2 linked regions of the Nothobranchius furzeri genome follow. The protein of the gene in region 1 purifies or fractionates together with the protein of each later gene. This does not show direct contact. Links are inferred from orthologs where the notes say so. Each region holds a gene or a part of one and is shown on either strand. Other genes may lie near its edges.

What was found. The genes of interacting proteins can lie anywhere in the genome.
Region 2: the proteins of shc1 (region 1) and AP-2 complex subunit mu-A purify together in Homo sapiens (affinity purification with mass spectrometry; 3 studies listed by BioGRID and IntAct, with this or other methods). This does not show direct contact. The link is inferred for Nothobranchius furzeri from reciprocal best matches to the Homo sapiens genes SHC1 and AP2M1.

What each region holds. Positions count from the first base shown.
Region 1 is NC_091745.1:78,656,181-78,661,961, forward strand, and holds the start of shc1 (SHC-transforming protein 1), read left to right. Parts: upstream 1-2,453; 5' UTR 2,454-2,671; coding exon 2,672-3,268; intron 3,269-5,781. UniProt on the Homo sapiens protein: Signaling adapter that couples activated growth factor receptors to signaling pathways. Participates in a signaling cascade initiated by activated KIT and KITLG/SCF.
Region 2 is NC_091751.1:56,899,185-56,903,664, forward strand, and holds part of AP-2 complex subunit mu-A, read left to right. Parts: intron 1-1,812; coding exon 1,813-2,078; intron 2,079-2,279; coding exon 2,280-2,362; intron 2,363-2,783; coding exon 2,784-2,919; intron 2,920-3,230; coding exon 3,231-3,375; intron 3,376-3,899; coding exon 3,900-4,019; intron 4,020-4,204; coding exon 4,205-4,340; intron 4,341-4,425; coding exon 4,426-4,480.

The DNA.
Region 1 (5,781 bases):
TAGCTGTCCTGTTGGTGACGGTTCGTTACGCTTACTGTTCATGTGACGGTGACTCAGGAGGATTCCTCTTGGTGTCCAGGGTCATGCCCTTTGTAGTCACCTGACCTACACTGTGTTCTGTGTACTGAAACAAACAAAAACCAGAGGGTTGACTCTGCTCAGAGGGCCTTTCAGCAGCCCTTTGTTCAACAACACCTGGAGTTTCCTCCGTTTATCCGATCTGTTGCCTTTTTGAAGTGCTAATCTTCTCTCTGTGCTCATCTTTGGTTTCTCTAGCTGTATGACCGACTGTTTTGTTTTGAAGTATTCTGCGTCCCTTTGATGGTCTAAACACTGGGTGTCAGCCATACTTCTTTACAGCTTTCTGGAGAACATCCCAGCCTCTCTGGCAGTGCATTTACTGGATCCTTCCTGGTGCTTCCTGGCCAAGACCAGATGGAGGGATCGCTAGAACTGCTGGACAGTCCCTCTGTGGTGCTAGACTAATGTAGGCGACTGTTCCTTCTGCCATGCGTCCAGCGCCTTCTACAGCCTCGAGCGCTGTGGCTCATTTCTGAAATGACAACAGGAAGTGTTGGCATTACTGAGACATCAGTGCCATACTCACAACCTTAATTTGACTTGTCTGGATAATAAGTGTGTCATTTGTTGGTGATTGTAAAGGTTGGTGTGTTGTACGTTTGAATAATGCCTCTACAGCACTAAGGTGTAGGCCAGCCGGCTGGCTGAGGGTTGTAGGTGTGGCCTTGCCTCCTACTGAGGTCACTTTGGAGACTATTAATAAAACAGACTGTACTTTAGATTGGACTATGCAGAATATGAGATGCTTGTGGGCTTAACTTGCTTGATAAGCCTTAGAAAAATAGGGACGCTGTTCTGGATTATAGCACGGCGATTCGTTCATATCGGTGTCAATACTGTTCTCTCAGGTAAACAACTATAATCTGTGTCCATGCTAGTACCGAGTCAGGAGCTGAGTGCAGTCTTAACCCAGCGGGTTCATTTACAACACCAGTGGGTCTCCATTCAGGGAACCCTAAGTTGGGGGTCCAAGCCTGACCAATCAGGGCTTGTTATCGTCTCAACAGGCCCACCGGTAGTCATCGTCATCCTATGACCTACATTCTGCCGTGTTACATCACCACTGTGCTACTGCAGTGTGTCTCGCTGTACCAGACAGACATCTCAGACTCAACTTTACCACGATCAAATGGTGCTCCAGCAACAAAACACACCGTGACCAAGGTGGCCAGTTCTACAGAACACACGAACCAAGGCAGGCCATTTCAGGAACCTCAGTCAGGAACGGGCTCAGCTCTAAGCCCAGTCTTAATTACTAACTTTTCACTTTCTTTTGGTTTTATATCGGCGTCTAAAGCCAACATGTCTAGCCTCTAGCCATCCGCGGTCCTTAACGTAAAGAGGCGCAACGACAGGGCTCAGTATTTAGCATACAAGTGTGGGACTGTTAAACAAGGCAGCCTGGAGAACGGGCGAGCAATCGAGGGAGGGGGAGAGGGGGACCGAGAGATCGTTTGGAAGAGGAGAGAGGAAGTGGTGGCACGGGAGAGGGCGGAGGCGTTGGAGAAGCAGAGGCTGGCAGAGTACATCGTGTGGAGGAAGAGAGAGGACTTCCAGGATAAGAGAGGAGAAAGAGAGAAGGGAGGGAAGAGCTCAGAGAAGGGAAGGGAGTCTTCACCAGAAGTGATCTGGAAGAGGAGAGAAGAAGGAGACGTTGGGAGGGAGAGAGCAAGGGCCATTCAGAGAGGACATGAAAGCATCTGGACGAAGGGGGAGAGGGAGTAGAAAGGGGAGCCAGATTTAAGAATAGTCGTGAAAAGTTGAAGCGACTGCACGACTGCAGAGTTTGAGAGCCTCCTCTCTCTTCTTCCGTGGCTCTGCAGGTGTTCGCTGTATTATCGACCAGCCGAGGTTGTGTTTTATGTGTTGCTGCTGTGTTAGCGTGTGCAGCCCCTTCTGCAATCCCCTTGTTGGCTGCTAATAGGAATTTTACAGGCCTATGTCAAGCGTGATAGAGCTGCCAAAGGGGAGCTGCTACACACACGCACACACACTCGGTTTACACTGCCATGTAGACGCGTCACAAACTGATGTACACACCTTTTTGTGCAGTAACACACACACACACACACACACACACACACACACACACGCACAAGGAGCATTCAGAGACAATCACTTGTGTTGGTTCGTCGTGGTGCTGGCGACAGCTGAATAGTCGTCCGGCACTCGGAGACGATTAAGTTGGGACGAGAAATCGTTTAGCATCGTGGCTGAAGACCATCGCTCTACGGAGAGCTGAGAACGTGTTTTCGTCCATTCAGGGGAACTCGGCGAACAAAAGCAAAAAACACCAAAAGAAACTGATGACAACATGAGCTGTTCTGGTGCTCTACAACACTTTTTTCATCTGCTCCCCACCGCTGCTGAGGAGGCCCCACCTTTCCGCAGCACCTCCTCTCCTCCTGCTCTCAGTGTGGATAAAGCCAGTTGTGAAGCGGTTTGGTGCGGGCTGCCTGAGCGGCGGACAGATGGACGCAGCTCCTACACAGACAGATACTTGAGTGTCCTTCCAGAGAAAAACTTTGAGTCGTGAGACAAAAAGACTTGGCTTGAAGCTCTGCAGCCTAAGAGGACCTATAAATAATACATGATGGAGCTCATGCAGAAAACCAAGTACACCCACATTCGGAGTGAGTCGCTGAGCTCAACAGATGAGACCAACTCCATTCCGTCGCCGTTCCCTCCATCCAGCCCCGCCACCCCTCTGACTCCCTCCCCTGGTTTGCCTTCTTCCTTCTCCTCCTCGTCTCTCACTGCCATTTTGCCCCCCACCTCCCCGCGCCCAGCTGAGAACAGCCCCACCACCCTCTGCTCCTTCTTCCCCAGTATGAGATCCCTTCGTCTCGGGGTCACTGGCACTCTTCTCCCAGTGCCCAGGTTCTCAAACAGGTCTCAGCAGTCCCAGGCACCTGTTGAGTCATCTGGAGATGATAGGAGCAACTCTAGCTCCTCCCCTACTCTTCATCAACCCATTCCCACACTAACTGCTCCCTCTCCCCCTCGCCGACCTCCTCTGCAGGACATGAACCGGCTCGGAGGAGCGTCCAGGAGGGCACGGGTGGAAGGAGGGCAGCTGGGAGGAGACGAGTGGACGCGCCATGGCTCCTTTGTCAACAAGCCCACCCGTGGCTGGCTGCATTCTGACAACGTGATCAGCACCACGGGAGTTTCCTATACTGTTCGGGTGAGTGAGTGGCACACTTCAACTGTCCAGCCTGTATTTTTATTATTATTTTTTATTTATTTATTTATCTCAAACCATCGAAAACATGAAATTGCATATGCACTCCCCCATATTCCTGGTGCATACAAAAAAAAATTTTTTTTTTTTTAAATGAGGAATACGATAAACATATGCTGTTGAATGAAACAATACAAAACATACAATAACATAAAACCATTTGAGAGGGAACTGGAAGAAGCAAAAGCTTATCTAGTCCAGCCCCAATTCAGTTAATAAATCACATTTGCTCACATTAACAAATTTGAAAGAAAAAAAAAATTCTTTATGCAGGTCGTTCTATCTTCACCTTGCTAGTTGCTACATAAAAAGACAGTTACAAAACAATTGTTCACATGAATCTACAGAAAAAAGAAAACAAAACCAATAAACAACAAAAACAAAATATTCCATTTGAAGCCAATTACCATTTTTATCACTTGCTATTTACGTATGAGTCAATTATGAGTTGTTTATACAACATTTTAAATGATCTAATGTTTTTACATAATTTTAAAGTCACATCAAGTTTGTTCCACAGTTTGATACCACATACAGATACACACATACTTTTCATAGTTGTTCGGTATAATGGAAAAATGAAGTTTTTAACGCCTCTCAATTCATAACCCTCTTCATGAGTTTTAAACAACCTTTGCAAATTACACGGCAGTACACCCATCATGGCCCTATACGGTACAAGGACAGTTTTAAATTGAATTAAGTCAAAAAATTTGAGTAATCTTAAATTGTAGAATAATGGAGTTGTATGATCTCTATATCCAGAATTTATAATTATCCTTACCACTCTTTTTTGGAGAACACAAATCTTTAATAAATTAGATTTATAAGTATTGCCCCATACTTCGACACAATATGATAAGTATGGTAGAATCATAGTACAATAAAGTGTGTGTAGTGCTTTCTGTGGTAGAGAATATCTTGTTTTATTTATTATTCCAATGCTTCTGGCTAATTTAGAACACACATATTGTATGTATGGCTTCCAACAGAGCTTATGATCAATCAATATCCCCAAAAACTTAATTTCATACACTCTTTCAATGGCTATTTCATTAACAGTCAAATAGATTTCTTTACTACTTCTTTTATTTCCAAATAACATCAACTTTGTTTTGCTGACATTTAACGACAGTTTGTTTTTATCAAACCAATTCTTAAGCTCACTCAATTCATTCTGGACCTTTAGTATAAGTTGCTGTATATCTTCTGCTGAACACAAAATATTTGTATCATCAGCAAACATAATAAATTTAAATAATTTTGAAGTTGTGTAAATATCATTTATATATAACAGAAATAACTTTGGGCCAAGTACCGACCCTTGCGGAACTCCACAGTGAACTTCGAGACAGCTAGACTTGTGATAGCCCAACTGCACATACTGAGCTCTGTTACTCAAATAACTTTTTAGCCAATTGAGAGCTGTCTCCCTTATACCACACTTCTCCATTTTTGATAAAAGTATTTTGTGATCGACTGTATCAAAGGCTTTCTTCAAATCAATAAAAATTCCCAGTAGAGCCCTGCACGGGCCTAAAATCTGAGCCCGTGTCCGGCCCGGCCCGAGGGGGTGGAGCCCCAGCCCGACCCGGCCCAAAAAGGTTTTCAGGATTCTCTGGCCCGGCCCGAGCCCAAGCCCGACTTTTTTTTAACCAACTAAATGAAAACAAAGTGCGTCAATCCTGACCAATGTGTTAAAAGACGTGCAGGATCCGAGCGTCGCAGAAGCGCATGCGGGAAGCTTACTTCCACTGAAGCGAGTGTTTTCCAAACCCTGTCTCTCAGAGAGACTTGTCACTTAGAAAATGTTCCCTGATTATGAAACTTTGGCTGAATAGCGCTTGTTCCTGTCTCCAATGTGCGACACATCCAGGAGCCGTCTGAGGAGAATCCCAGAATCTCACATCCTCTTCAGCTCATGAGCGCATATGATTACGCACAAGCGTGACCCAACACGGTCTCACAGTAAGACTGGGTTGGACCTGTTCAGGTTTACGCAGACAATCTTCACATAGAATTGACTTACAGATATAAAATTAATGCAGTAAAATATAAAGCATTTTATTTAAATATCCATTCATTATTTTACAAGCACAGAGAGCCGCATCAGATGGATGGAAGAGCTGCGGGTTGCCGATCCCTGCTCTAGTTCAAGATATCATTAAAATTCCAAAAGTGCTGAAAAGATTAAAAATGGGGCTTTTCGTGCACATACAATACATTATGGTAGCCACCGGGATTCCCTGTCTTGAGCGCAACAAACCACAACACAGATTCAGAGACGTGCTGAGTTTGTCATCCAAAATGCTCCGTTTTATAACTTTTGAATGGCTGATCAGATTCAAATAATTCCAACGGTTCCTAAAAGTACATCAAAGCAGCTTTCCAACGATCTATAGCATGAAGCAATCAGAGTTAGATAAAATATCGCTAAGAGGGGAAATCCTGCTGTA
Region 2 (4,480 bases), on another chromosome or scaffold:
CAGTATAATCAGAACTCCATATAAAAGTTTGTAAATGATCACATTAATGTGTAATGCATGTTGGGGTTGGGGTCCTGGCTTGTCTTGGACATGGGCTATGGGGTCCTCAAAGGAAAGACTTGAACTCCTGCATTAAAAATTTTATTATGAAAGGTTAAAACATGTAATGAAACCCATGCTGGATACTTATTCTGAAATGTGGTTTAAAAACGGAGCTGAGTCATCACAACCAGTGCTGAGCAGCAATAGATGGAAAAATGTAGCCACTCACTTTTTTTTAATTTCATTCATTTTACAAAAAGGCATTGCTGTGTTAGGGCAAATGTAAGGTCTGCACTGCTCTTGTGCAACGTGTTATGGATATGATCTAAGTAGAATTTCCACCTTGCTTTCCCAGAATAAACATCTGCTCGTGTGTGTGCTTTCACCACTGTGTGTTGTACAAAATTCCACTGAACCCAAAAAAGAAAAGAAAATTAAAACACCCGCTCATTTTATTTTCATTGCATTATGCTGGAAAAAGCATAGTTGTGTGAATCCATGAATTTCATAGCTTATTGATGTTGCTTCAGTAGTTTTCGTAGGTATTCGTCCCCCTGGCTGCAGCAGCAGTGTAACACAAACCAGATGTTTTAGGTTTGCTCCTTGACCGCTGCATTAAATTCCTCATGCCTCTGTAATTGTGTGTAAATTAACTAGCATGTTTTTATCAGTCTGAAGCTGTTTGCCCTTTCCCTCCTGTACCTAATTGTGAAAATAGCACCCTAATAATAAACACCACGTTACTCACTCTGTCTACATAATGCACAAAAATGTCAATTGTACATTTTTGTCTCTCCTTTCTGTTTACCTCATCCCTTTTCTCCTATCTCTATCACCTCTCCCATCTGTTTCATCTTGGCCCATGTAGGAATAGGTAAGAGCTGCTGCAGCGTTTAAAGCATGACCCCCTCTCCCCCTTTCTCATGGCCTCAGATCAGTCACCCCATGAACCTTAAACCGCATGCCTTGGTCAAATACCCAGCAGTTCCTGTAAGCATGAGTCCTTACAGCAGTAAATAAATGGCTTTGTACTGAAATGCAGCAGATTAACTCAGATCTAAGAATTTATTTTCAGTTAATGTCAGCAGGAAATATTGTTGCTAAATCAGCTGTTCTGGTATCCCAGCATGGAGTCTGAGCATGGGATCTGATAATTCCATTTTCTCTCGGAAATCTTTGGTATAGTTTGAGGTTTTACTTGTAAAGGTGGCCTTTTGAAAACGTTTTCATACACAGGAGGTAATCAGGTCATCGATCAACAGTTTTAATCTGTGGTGCATTTGTTGGTTTATCTCAGACCCTCGTCAGAGCCATCCTTGCACTGAGCCCCAATTTTTGCTACAAAATAGTTTTTTCCAAATCTAAATAAAGATGACATTTGGAGAGTTTGTGATTAAAGTACATGATATAAACATGTTTTCTTTCCTATGACTCCTCCAAATCTAGGGAATGATAAGTTTTTATTTTCTCTCTCTGTGAAGACTATCACAGTTTACACCAAACACTCTAAATGCACCAGCCCAGAACGTCCCGCTTTTGCTGCTTGGATTTTGATATTTGCCTCCTTGAGAAATAAAAACAAGGGCATGTTAGTGAGGAGCGGGGGAGTTATTTCCTTTTTAATGTTAAACTTTATATTAGCCCCGCTCTGCAGCCTTTTTTTATTTCAGAGATCGTAAAATAATCCGCTCTAATGTTGACAAGCATATGATTGGCTTTAAAGTCCAACCTAAATGTTTCTTTCTGTCTCACCCCTGCTCGTCGTTGCAGGCGGAATGCCGTGGACGCGTTCCGCGTGAACGTGATTCACGCCCGGCAGCAGGTCCGGTCGCCGGTGACCAACATCGCCCGCACCAGCTTCTTCCATGTCAAGCGCTCAAACATATGGTTGGCAGCTGTGACCAAGCAGAATGTCAACGCTGCCATGGTGTTTGAGTTCCTTTACAAGATGTGTGACGTCATGACTGCCTACTTTGGCAAAATCAGCGAGGAGAACATCAAGAACAACTTTGTGCTCATCTACGAGCTGCTGGATGGTAGGAGACGATCCTGGAGTCTATTAGTCATATAATAAACATTTTGTAGGACTGCTGGACTTACACATGTCTGGGTGTAGAAAAAAAGCCTAATGTTCTGTTAGTCAGTCAGCACCGGCTACTCCGTGTACTTCATGTTCTAGTTTTCTCTACACTAGTCTTTTATCGCTAACCGCTATCTACTGGTGTTTGTTTATTCAGAGATCCTGGACTTTGGCTACCCCCAGAACTCAGAGACCGGAGCCCTGAAGACCTTCATCACCCAGCAAGGCATTAAGGGACAAGTAAGTACAGTGTTTGCCCCCGACTGATGTAGAGCTTTCAGTTTGATGTTTTTGTAGAAGATAACCTAGAAAAGTGGTGTTCAGATGAACTAAATTCACTCTAACCTGAAGCGATGAATAGTTTAAAGACAATCTGGTGGTGGAAATGTTTATTTTTGTATCTGATTCTAGTAAACTTTACATGTGGTTAATTTGTATGAATATTAAATGTGTGTTTGTTTGTGTGTGTGTGTGTGTGTGTGTGTGTCATTGTTTCCCTCGTCTGCGGTTTTTGGACCATTCAGCACCAGGTAATGTTGAAAGTTTTGTAAAAAGTCGTGTTTTCATGTGTTTCCACTCTCTGTCATCCTCTGATCATCATCATCCTTGTGTGGAAGTTTTGCTCTTTGTTCCTGATCCAGTTTCTGCTCCTGTTTCTCAGACAAAAGAGGAGCAGTCTCAGATCACCAGCCAGGTGACGGGCCAGATCGGCTGGCGTCGTGAGGGCATCAAGTATCGCCGCAATGAGCTCTTCCTGGATGTACTGGAAAGTGTTAATCTGCTCATGTCACCTCAAGGTCTGTTTATGTCCTCTAAAGACGTCCCTGACTGCTAACATAAAAAGATCCGAGGAAATGTTGACATTCAGAGACGTCTAAATGACTTGCTATCAAGTTTTGCCATGAAGGTCGACTAAAACTAGTTGAAGACTTTTTGATCGTGTTTACTTCTGCAGCTTTAAACAGAGATGGTACTGTAGAATAATTTTAGTATTTCCACAGTTTTAGACCTGAATTAAAAAGTCCTATTGTGCAGAAACGCTGTCTAAATATGGTGGAACCTGTCCCAGCGGTGTCCAGATGTTGATCCTCTCACTCCTTCCATCCAGGCCAGGTCCTGAGCGCCCACGTGTCGGGCCGTGTTGTGATGAAGAGCTACCTGAGCGGAATGCCGGAGTGCAAATTCGGCATGAACGACAAGATCGTCATCGACAAGCAGGGCAAGGGAGGAGCGTCCGACGATGCAGGGAAAAGGTGAGTGATGCGTGAGTGAGGAGGCAGGCGCTTTGGTCAAACGTGCTTTCATAAGGAGGGACATAAATTATGACTTTGCTTTTCTTGTCTAAATAGTTCTGTCCTTGAGCTCCGACTAAGAAATTCTTTTGTCCTTTTGTTTGCTCTCCTTTTGGATGGCTCTCTGTCTTTTATCCTTTCTTTACTTTGTGCTGTACCACAGTGATTTAGGGGGAGGAAGGTACGATAGCAACAAGGTTCCTCTCCCTCCACCGCTTCATTCTCCTCCTGTGTTCTGCCCAGTAACTGTTTCATCATCCCTAACCGTCCTAGTTCACTCTTTACCCATCATCATTTACTGTAGTTTTGTAGTAATAATTTAATCCAGGTTCAAATGTTGTCTTCTAGCAGCCATGTCTTTGTACTTAAGTATACTGGTGGATATCCAGAGAGTAGATTTTATCTGTAGATTGGAAAAGGATAGTTAAAATCCAGACTAGTAACAAGTTAGTTGGTGTGTCTGATGCATCTTCTGTCCTCTTCAGTGGGAAGCAGTCCATAGCCATTGATGACTGCACTTTCCACCAGTGTGTGCGTCTCAGTAAGTTTGATTCTGAGCGCAGCATCAGCTTCATCCCTCCTGATGGAGAGTATGAGCTCATGAGGTCAGTAATGGTAGTAGATTATTAGAGCCTAAAGCATCCATGAATGTCTGCTCTGATAGATCCTGCTGGGTTTTTATTTATTTTTTTATTTTTCCACTCATTCAAAATTTTGGTGGATTGATAATTCCCCCCCCCCCCCCCATTTATTTTTATTAATTTACTTTTTAAATGTATGTATTTTTCAGATATCGCACCACTAAGGACATCATCCTGCCGTTCCGAGTTATTCCTCTGGTCAGGGAGGTGGGTCGCACCAAACTGGAGGTTAAAGTGGTCATCAAGTCCAACTTCAAACCTTCGCTGCTGGCTCAGAAAATTGAGGTCAGCAAACACATTTTTACATTTTTGATGAAATTCTTTAAGTTTTGACTTCACTGGTAAATATCTGGGCTAATTCTCTCCTCAGGTGCGAATTCCAACACCCCTCAACACTAGCGGTGTGCAGGTGATTTGCATGAAGG